Linked DNA regions of Caenorhabditis elegans. The protein of the gene in region 1 interacts with the protein of each later gene in a pairwise test. Each region holds a gene or a part of one and is shown in the gene's direction. Other genes may lie near its edges. The genes, in order: npp-11 and npp-13.

Region 1 (6,174 bases):
CACAATATCCCGAACCGGAGGAAGAGTGCATCTGGAAATTTTTTTTCAATTATAAATTGGATTTACTTAAATATGCGTGTTTTATCATTCATATTCGCTCAAAATAATCAAAAACTTTTCAAGATTTTGTCTATGTTGGTTTAAAATTTCGAGAAAAAGGGCAAGTTTCGGCTAAAATCTGAATGTTTTTTTTCAGAAATTTTCTGTGGAAATTGATTCATTTTGAGGCATCCTCACTTTGTATTTATGAGATTTATGAATTGAAACTTCAAAACACTGAAGACACATGACACATGTCCCATCAGTGGCACAATCCAGACATGTATACGTAAGTTCTCCGTTTTTAAATACATGGCCACAAATTTGTCCCCGTCTTGCAGGATCAACTCCGGCAATGCCATTCATTGCTTCCAGTGTGCTCTTTGTGTTCCGAACGTCTAGTACAAATGCACTGACCAGTGGGGCTAGGAGAATCTCTCCTTGGGAACCTGAAGCAAAATTGGCTTTTTAATATATATGTTTTTTTTTTCAAAAAAACCCACCTAGAATTCGTTCATTCGCGGCTGTATTGTCCCATGGCAAATCCGAATTCACTTCGAACACCTCTGGGACCTGTACAAGCCAGTGCTTGAGCAGCAGCTGGCGTACTTGGGCCCATTCACCCTGTCGAGCTGATTGTATTAAATCGACAATCATTCCATTAGTCGAACTGAAATCGGTAGCTTGATAAAATAGGAGCATTTCATCTAAGAAAAAGAGGATTCGTAAAAGAAAATAAAATATATTGATTATTTTCCGACCCCCCGATTATGCTGCTGATGACCATATCAAAATAAGCGAACGAGAGGACAAAAAGCAGTGATGGGAGGCAAAAATGATGACAGTGGACACTAGGAGAAAGTGAAGGAGATGAGAGAGAACGGGAGGATATAGATTTGCTTCTCTCTCTCTCTGTTTTCGATGCGAGAGTGTTGCCGCAGATAAAGAGCTCTCACGGACTCGGTGCAATGCATCGTGGATTAAATAATTCAACAATGAGGAAATTGAACTATTAAAAATATTGATTATTTTTACGTGTCAGCGAATTCACTGGCGAAGCAATAAAAAAAAACTTTTTTTTAAAATCAGACTTTAGAGCACGTGGACTTTGAATGTTTCACTCATATAACGTCAAAATAATTTAAAACTATATTTTAATAAAAGTTATTTGACTTTAAAAGCAATAAAATATACTTTTTCACCGAAAAAATAACTGATTTCGCGAAAAAAAACAATCTAAAAAAATAAAAATAAAACCCTTGGGAAGTGGATCGTGGCGAGACCCTGAAGGTGAGGCATGCGCCTTTAAGTGTTCGGACTACGGTACACAAATTTCTCTTTTTGTTTTCAATTTCCTAATTTGCGTGGATCGCTGAGAGTTGTTAGATTTTTGAGTTTGTATATAGTTTTCTTTTTTATTTTCATCAAAAATTAAAGTATTTCTTCGTGAAAAGTACTTGGTCAGCAGGAAAAAAAGGTTCTCCCGCGTTTTTACCCCTTTGTGATAGAAAACTTTGCATATTCAGAAGCTTGCTCATCGTTTCGATGATCGAGATCTTTCTTCACATTTCATAACTTTTTTAAAATATCAGTATAAAAAATGGATCAATATTATAAGTTGTAATCGAGAAGTTAGAATAGCAATAGAAACCACAAAGACATTCGGGCCCAAAAATATTTATATTTTCAAACTAACTGCAGCACATGAAATTATCTTCGATTTTTCTCCTTCACGCCGACGTCGCGTGCTCCTCCCAGCCGCCGGCCTAGTCTGCGGTGTTTTTAGGCCATCATTTTCGCGCGACCACCAAATCATTTTTCGAATCTCGACGCGCTCATTTGTGCACTCAAATGACTATTTTCTGCCTCTCTGTCGTTTTCTTTTTGTCAAATAATATTGCTGCCCTTTAAAAATATTAAAAATATCATTCCAGATCAAATGTTTGGAGGATCTGCACCAAAACCGTCGATTTTCGGAGGAACCGCTGCTACCACAACAGCCTCATCTGGATTTTCTTTCGGTAATTCGAGCACATCAACAGCGAACACAGGTATCGATCGATGAAAAATTCAACTAATTTATTTTTTTCGTTTTTAGGCGGAAACACGAATACTACCGGAGGTTTTTCTTTTGGATCCGCACAGCCGAGCACTGGAAGTACTGGACTTTTCGGAAACAGCACAGCTACTGGTAGGTTTTTGGTTTAATAAACTTGTAAAATACGCTCCCGTATTCAAAAAGTATAATTTTAAATTTTTCAGGCTCAATGTTTGGAGGCTCCTCTGCTGCAGCTCCAGCCCCAGCGTCTGCTGGAATCTTTGGAAATTCTGGTGCCGCGGCGCCAGCTCCCGCTTCAACGAGCATTTTTGGAAGTTCTGCAAATTCAGCAGCACCTGCTACAGTAACGTTTGGCGCAAGCGCACCATCAGCTGGTGCTGGCATGTTCGGAGCTAATAAACCAGCTGCTCCAACTGGCGGCTTGTTCGGATCATCCACAAGTACCGCAACAACTGCACCAACTGGCGGGCTTTTCGGTAGCTCAACTGCTGCGCCATCAAGTGGATTATTCGGATCCACGGCCGCTCCAGCAGCACCAGGAGGACTATTTGGAAGCACTTCCACCTCTACAGCGGCTCCATCCGGCGGCTTATTCGGATCTTCAGCTGCTCCAACTTCCACAGCCCCAGCTCCTTCTGGTGGTTTGTTCGGGGCTGCACCAGCTACTAGCAATGCTGCTCCAACCTCTGGATTATTCGGAAATTCAGCACCTGCTGCGACAGCTTCATCTGGTGGACTATTCGGCGCAGCTCCAAAGCCTGCAGCTCCATCGGGAGGTCTTTTTGGTTCTACCGCTCCTGCAACCACCGCTGCAACTACAACTGCCACATCAGGATTGTTCGGAGCACCAACATCTGCTCCTTCGTCCGCTCCAGCCACTGGTGGTCTTTTCGGAGCCTCTACTGCTCCCGCCGCTGCTACTGGAGGTCTTTTCAGCATTGGTGCTGCTTCAGCATCCACTCCATCTGTTGGATTGTTCGGTAATTCTAGTGCTTCTACAACCGCTGCGGCAGCCCCTGCCACCGCCCCAGCGGCAGCTTCAACTGGAGGATTGTTCGGAGCCACCACCGCCGCAGCCGCAGCACCAACCTCATCTACAACTGGGGGATTATTCGGATCTACCGCCGCTGCTCCGGCCGCTTCACTTCCAACCGGAGGTCTCTTCGGATCGTCAACTCCTGCTAAGACCCCAGCCGCACCAACAGCAGGACTCTTTGGAGCATCATCGACAACCACCACATCAGCTCCAGCTACTGGATCTTTGTTCGGAACAGCTCCAGCAACCACAACAGCTACTAGTGCAGCTCCAGCGGCTTCTACTGGAGGATTGTTCGGTGCTTCATCCACAACTACGCCTGCTTCTACAGCTCCGACTGGTGGATTATTCGGAGCAGCAACCACAACTGCTCCCGCCGCAGCAGCTCCGACTGGTGGCCTGTTCGGGGCTGCGACTACAACTGCACCAGCAACTGTAGGTCCGACCGGTGGATTGTTTGGAGCAGCAACTACAACAACACCTGCTACTGCCGCTACATTGGGACAAACTCCATCTACAGTGTCAGCAACTCCATCTCTTCCAACCACAACCAGCACTACTTCCACTCTTCCAAAGCCAGCAGAAGCTACTCCAACTCTTGGACTTGGCCTAGGGCTCACTTCAACACCATTGGCTAAGGGAACTGGGTACATTTTGGTTTACTTTTTAAAAATATAAAAAAAACTCTTAATTTCAGATGGACAACATCAGGACTTAAAGGAGCTGCAACTACATCTGCAGGCCTGAAAATTGGTGCAAGTGGAAGCGACACACTTTCTGAAGAAGAAATCAAAGCAGGACTCGGTGGAAATGATACAAAAGCCTTCTTCACCGCCCTTCAAGAAGTTGTCAATAGTTATCATTCGGAAATTGCGAAGCAGGAACGAGTATTCCATAATAAAATGCTCGAGCTTAATGCTTATGACCGTGAGCTCATTACACTCGAGCCAAAAGTTTTAGGATTGTACAATGAGATGGATGATTTGAGTGGAAGCTGCAAGAAACTGCATTTCAACGTCGCCTCCATGACTTCTGTCTTGAACGATATTGAGCAAAATGTTGTTGAGCTAGAGAACAAGCTGAGCCTTCCAGAATGGCATACTCTTGATTACAAATTCCCACTTGATAGCAGATTTGCGTCGAGACATGATGTTCAGAGAGTGCAAATGTACGTCAAAGTTATTGATTTTTAATGGATTAAATTTTTAAGAAATATATTAAATTTAGCTAAAAACTTCAGTTTTCCCAACTTTTTCTTTGTAAAAGCCGATGGAAATTGATTTTTTTTCATATATTGCCCTATTTGGCATGCTTTGGTTGATTATCTCACGCTGTTCCGTTGATTTGGCTCGATTTGCATCCAATTTTCGTAATTTTTGAATAGCTATCGACTTAAAATATGACTAAATTAACGAATTAACGCCAGATAAATAATCAAAATATGCAATAAATCGGGATAATTCGATAAAAACTATATTTCAGCCGCTGCGACAAAGAAAAAGTTGACAAAATTTCGCAAAATCCTGCCATAAAACTATCAGATTTTTTTCTTGTTGAGAGTTTTTGAATATTTAAGCAAAAAAATCCACAGGTTTTTTTTAAAATCATAATAACTAAAACTTTTTGAAAGCATTTTTTTTGTTTTTTGTTCCGAAAATACTTAACACAATGCAATCGACAGTCTTGAAGACGAAAGAAAAAAAGCAAAAAGCGACAGCCCTGGACCTTACTCCCCTTAAAAATCAAAATAATAATTTCAAAAAAAAATTCCAGCGCTCAAATGATGCTCAACGTGGATTCCCAAATGAAATGTGCGGACTTCGATCTCGATCAAATCACCAAGTCACTTAACACAATGCAATCGACAGTTTTGAAGACGAAAACCGAGACCCCGCTGGAGAAAACTGAGCTTATTATGAAGAAGCAGCTGCAGAAGCTGATGGATCTCTCCACTCAACACGGTACTAATTTTAGAGTTTTTAATCAAATTATTAAATGTCAATTTTTATTTTACAGATGCTACTCGTGATAAGCTGAACAAGCTGAAGGATGACCACAATCTGAAAACGAACAACTCGTCGAAGGCCTAGATTCTTACTTTTTATTTATATATTCATTTTTTCTTTAAATTGAAACTCTAATTCTTTAAACCTATACACTTTCACCTGTTTTCTTCATGATCACCACCATCACACTATTTATTTTTTTTGTTATTGTCTGTTTTGTTGTGTGTTTGGTTGAGTTTGTGAATGAACTTGTTTTTAAAAAATATTGATTATATTTTGGTTTTTTTTTTCAAGTGTTTTTTAAAATTACACTGATATATTTTATATTTTCTTGTTTGGAAAATATTTACTTGTGTATTTTAACTCTACATTTTAAAATTAAATTTTAAATATAATTAATTGTTTTATTTCTTCATTTTTTTTTTTTTTTTGGCTTGGAAAATTTTATTTAACTAAAAAAATTAACATTTTAATATGTGGCCCAAGTTATACCCAAGTATTTACCTCTTGCTCTTTAAATTTCAACGAATTTCGTTGAATTTCCCCCATTTGCGGGGGTCACTATTGTTATCAAAAGATCCTTATCATAGTTTTTGATGCTCTAGAAATTTCTAATTGCTTTTCCTTGTGATTTTGAAAACGTTTACAGTGATGTTTCTCTTTTTTGATTTCATCAATTTATCTTGCATCCCTAGGAGCTCCTAGTCAAATGTTAGTATTTTGTGATTTTTGAAAGTACGGTAGCTGCGAGATCGATCGTTTCGAGACTGGAAACCCTACTTTTCATCAAATATCGTAAGATTCCTCGAAGGAGTAACCACCTGTATTGAAAATCGAGGGTGTCAGGTTTTCAATTTTTTGCTAAAATCGAAAAACTAAACTTTTCTTAGAAATAAGTTTTTTAATTCACCAATTTTTGTTTTTGATGTTGATGAAAAAATATATTTACGAAAACAATTTTTAATTTTCTTTTCAAAAAATAATAAAAATAGCCAAAATTTAAAAAAATTTTTTTGATTTTTAGTGGAAATTCA
Region 2 (5,049 bases), 1.7 Mb from region 1:
GAGGAGAACCATATAGATGGTTATCTGAAGGAAAAGGGGTATATTGAGATTGATGTGGGTGTGGTGGTAATTGGATATTAATTGGCACTTTGGTGAGGATTTTGTGAATTTTCAAACTTTGCGCGTCGAATTTGGTGTATTCACATTACACACTGATTTCTGGCTTCCCTTGAAATGGAAGAGTTTTTGCCGAACTAGGCCGTTTTGGCTCGGCCATATCTGGGGTAGATTTACGGCGCGTTGCGTGTCGCGTCGCGGCTCGATTTTAGTTGTAAAACTAAATGTATTTGTCCGTGTGGAGTACACGACTTTCCCAGTCCGGCAGGCGATTGTCAATGGAGCGCGAAAAATTCAATGAGGAAGGCAATAACCCCGTAGTACTCTAATTAAGTGTCCCGTTTTTACGAAATTTTTATAAAAATTGGTTTTTTTTGTTTTTAGAGAAAATTATGAATATATTTTCTTGTTTTTCTAATCAACAAAAGCGAAATTTAATGTAAAATTACACGGGGTTCTGGCCTTCCTCGTTGAATTTTTCGCGCTCCATTGACAATCGCCCGCCGGACTGGGAAAGTCGTGTACTCCACGCGGACAAATACATTTAGTTTTACAACTAAAACCGAGCCGCGACGCGCCGTAAATCTACTCCAGATATGGCCGAACCAAAATGGCCTAGTTCGGCAAAAACTCTTCCATTTCAAATTATGAGTCCCCATCATGCCTAAGAACCCTCTATTTAGGTTACTGACACATCTGAAACCGGTGCTACAGTACCCTGCGTGGTGGGACCCGAAAATTTGAAATTTGGCAGAAAATGGGCAAGATGGGAGTCATTTTGAAGCTGAGAATGAGGAGAATGTGAATTTTAGAGTAATTTAGAGAAAAAAGTGAAATTGGGGAAAAAAAAACAATTTTTTTGGAAATTTTTTCATTTCAAAAATGTTCTTTAAATTGTCGTTAAATTCGAATTTCTCGATTTTCAGCTGTAAAATGACCCCCATCATGCCTGGGAATGCTTCAATTTCACACATTTCCCCATTGACACAGCTGAAACCGGTGCCACAGTACCCCGCGTGGTGGAAAAAAAACCCGAAACTTTCAAAAGAAATCCCTGATTTGTTTTACACTGAAAAATTGTTGAATTATCACGGGAACACAAAATTCAGAGAATGCGTATTGCGCAACAAATTTGACGCGCAAAATTATTAATATCTCGTAGCGAAAACTACAGTAATTTAAAGAATTTAAAGAATTACTGTAGTTTTCGCTGCGAGATATTTTGCGCGCCAAATATGTTGCGCAATACGGGCTCTCTGAATTCTGTGTTCCAGTAATTTTTACTTATAATTATTTTCCATAGACCAGTAAAACATTTACTGATTAAAAAAGCTCTCGACACAACTGTCACTAAATAATTCATTTTTTTAAAAGAAATTTAATGTTTTTTAGTGTTCAAATCATCCAATTTGTGATTTATTATCTGCTCCATGAGTTCCTGAGACCGATCTACCATCTGGCGGTGTACTTCTAACCGGAAAAGTCGATAATGTGGATGCTACGACACGCTCCCGAATTTATGTCTTTTTTTTCGTTTTTCTTTAAAAATAATACTCAATTTTCTTGAAACATTTTCATCGAAAATGTTTTTTTTTTCAATTTTTTTGTAAGTTTTTCATTTTCCCACTCAATTTGTACTGAATTCGATTCAATTCCAGCGGAAATTAATTTAAATTCAGCTCTTGGCAATGTGCCAAGAAGCTGGTGGCCTAGAACTCGAAATACTGGCCTAGGATTCATGCGGGATTTCGGAGTGTCGTTGCACCGATTTTTTCAAAATTAATTTTCGTTTTGCCGCGAAAAACGAGAATTATTTGGTTTTTAAAACGTTTTTTAACGATATTTTTCGATTATTTTCATATTTTTCAGGGTTTAAACTGGAAAATGTGGTTAATGTAAACTGGTTAATGTTGTAAATCCTTGAAAAAACCTAAACCAGTAATTTTCTCAATTTTTAATTCAATTCAGGATGCTACAGTTTACGGAGATCCTCGGAAGAGTTGATCATCAAGGATTCGCACAATTGCTTGCTAATCCGATTTTCCAAACCAACCGTGTCGGCCAAGAGGTTTGTAAATAATGTTTAAAATGTTAAAAACACCGAAAAATTCCCTTTTTCCAGAACTCGCAGCAATTCACAGTCCGAAATGGCGTCGAGCAGGAGCTTTGCGGTATTTTAGGCGGTTCAGAAGGCGACTGGACACGTCAGACGCACTCAGTTCAGAAGCAGATGATGTTTGGGGAGCGTGGCATCGAACTTCCGAGCCGCCAGCCGAAAAGTCACACCGCCGAGGATACTCTCACTGATGAAGGTGTCGTGGACGTGCCTGAAGCTGTAATGGATGATATTGACGAGGAAGAAGTACTTAATCACGGCCTCCTTGAGTGTTCATAATTATTGGAGCGAGCTCGCGTGGCACCTCACGAACTCCAGAATTTGCGGGAGTTCGTTCCGCGGGAACAGCAGTTTTTTGTTATTTTTGGCTTCTATAGGAAATATTTTTGATTTTTTGTTTTATAATATTCTTGAGAAACATCATCCGAATTGAAAATGTGTAAAATTATGAAATTGGCCGAAAACTGGAAGTTTTACAGAAGAAAGCCACTATAGTTTTTGAAAAAATGTATCAGGATCGCCAGTTTTGCGATTTATGCGTCGTAAAATATGTCATTTTGTAGAGAATTAAAAGTTTCATAAAAATTTTCGTTTGAAATTTTAATTCGTTAATTTCTAATAAAAAAATATTCAAAAAATCAACAATTTTACGTTAAAATCTTATTTCTTCAATTTTTAAGTTTTCAATAAAAACAATTTTAAATTTTCAAACAAAAATTCTTATGAAACTTTTAATTCTCTACAAAATGACATATTTTACGACACATAAATCGCAAAACTGGTCCTGATACATTTTTTTAAAAACTGTAGTGGCTTCCTTCTGTAAAACTTTCAGTTTTCGGCCAAATTTTATAATTTTACACATTTTCAATTCGGATGATGCTTCTCAAGAATATTATAAAACAAAAAATCAAAGATATTTCCTATAGAAGTCAAAAATAAAAAAAACTGCTGTTCCCGCGGAACGTGTTCCCGCGAATTCTGGAGTTCGTGAGGTGCCGCGCGAGCGCGCTCTAATAATTATGAACACTCCAGGTGGCCGTGATTAATTAATAATTTATCATGAAAACAACGTTTTAATCTTTAAATTTTCCAGCTCGACGAGGACATTTCTCGTGTTAAAGTGGAGACGGATCGAGCATTCTTCAACCACATGCTTCTTTCGAGACCTGCCGCAGTTCCCATGAATCCAGCACAGGCTATGGAACGAGATGTTCGTTAAAATCCCTTGCGCGGCACACCTCACGAACTCCAGAATTCGAGGGAATTCGTTTCGCGCGCACTTCTATAGATATTATTTTCTATTTTTTTGATTTATAATGTTGTTGAGAAGCATTTTTCCGAATTGAAAATGTTTAAAATTATGAAATTTGACCAAAAACTGACGGTTTTACAGAAGGCTTTCTTTAAAATGTATCAGAACCGTCAGTTTTTTGATTTCAAAGTCGTAAAATATTTAATTTTGTAGATAAAAGTCTGTTTCACAAAAATCCACGTTTGAAAATTTAAAATTGAAAATTGTTTTTATTAAAAACTGAAAAGTCTAGAAAAAATAAGATTTTAACGTAAAATTGTTGTTTTTTTGAGTATTTTTATATTAAATTAAAGGTGGAGCACCAAAAATTTAGACTTTGCTTTTTTGGACCCAAAATGTTCCAAAACTACCAAATTTCGTAATGAGACGTTCTGAAAATTTCTCAACAAAAAAAAGTTACGACCGCTCAAAGTTTTGGAAGAAATGGTCTATTTTCAGCTAAAATCTCAAATTTGTCAGCTTTTCAGTGCTGCATCGGTTGGTACTCAATTTTTATTTGACTAGCACTCTTTAATACATATTATGGTAGTTTATTACGCGTTTTTTCGTTGATTTGAGCCCATTTTGGGTTGATGGGTGCACAAAATTGTATTATATTTGTGCACCCATCGACCGAAAATGGGCTTAAATCAACGAATAAACGCGTAATAAACTACCATAATATGTATTAAAGAGTGCTAATCAAATAAAATTAAGTTCCAACCGCTGCAACACTGAAAAGCTGCTAATATTTGAGATTTTAGCTAAAAATCTACCATTTTTTCCAAAACTTTGAACGGACATAACTTTTTTGTTGAGAAATTTTCAGAACGCCTCACCACGAAATTCGGTAGTTTTGGAACATTTTAGGTCTAAAAAAGCAAAGTCTCAAATTTCGGTACTCCACCTTTAATTTCTAATATAAAAATATTCAAAAAATCAACAATTTTACTTTAAAATCGTTTTTTTTTATAAAAGATTTTCAGTTTTTAATAAAAACAATTTTAAATTTTCAAACGTCGATTTTTGTAAAATACTCTTTTCTCTCTACAAAATGACATATTTTACGACTACGAAATCGAAAAACTGACGGTTCTGATAGATTTTGAAGTAAAACCTTCAGTTTTCGGTCAAATTTCATAATTTTACACATTTTCAATTCGTATGATGCTTCTCAACAATATTATAAATCAAAAAATTCAAAAAAGAATTTCTATAGAAGCCGGAAATAGCCAAAAACTGCTGTCCCCGCGCGAATCGAATTCCCGCGAATTCTGGAGTTCGTGAGGTGTCGTGCTCGAATAATTATGAACACTCCGGGAGACCATGGAAAACAGGGGGTTCTGGCCTTCCTCATAGAATTTTTCGCGCTCCATTGACAATCGCCTTGGGAAAGTCGTGTACTCCACACGGACAAATACATTTAGTTTTACAACAAAAATCGAGCCGCGACGCGACACGCAACGCACCGTAAATCTACCCCCAGATATGACCTGGCCTAGTTCGGCAAAAACTCTTCCATTTCAATTTATGAGCGGAACCAGAGTTCCGTGCTCGTTTATAATGATTTTTATGCCGAAAC

Evidence for each region.
Region 2: the proteins of npp-11 (region 1) and npp-13 interact in a two-hybrid assay, tested with the Caenorhabditis elegans proteins (one study listed by BioGRID).

What each region holds. Positions count from the first base shown.
Region 1 is NC_003279.8:3,816,101-3,822,274, forward strand, and holds npp-11 (Nsp1_C domain-containing protein), read left to right. Parts: upstream 1-1,973; 5' UTR 1,974-1,978; coding exon 1,979-2,090; intron 2,091-2,137; coding exon 2,138-2,230; intron 2,231-2,301; coding exon 2,302-3,781; intron 3,782-3,831; coding exon 3,832-4,302; intron 4,303-4,907; coding exon 4,908-5,095; intron 5,096-5,150; coding exon 5,151-5,224; 3' UTR 5,225-5,396; downstream 5,397-6,174. Other genes in the region: E3 ubiquitin-protein ligase ubr-1, read right to left, coding at 1-31, 238-488, 543-696.
Region 2 is NC_003279.8:2,095,321-2,100,369, forward strand, and holds the start of npp-13 (Nuclear pore protein), read left to right. Parts: upstream 1-2,025; 5' UTR 2,026-2,026; coding exon 2,027-2,125; intron 2,126-2,179; coding exon 2,180-2,419; intron 2,420-3,269; coding exon 3,270-3,386; intron 3,387-5,049.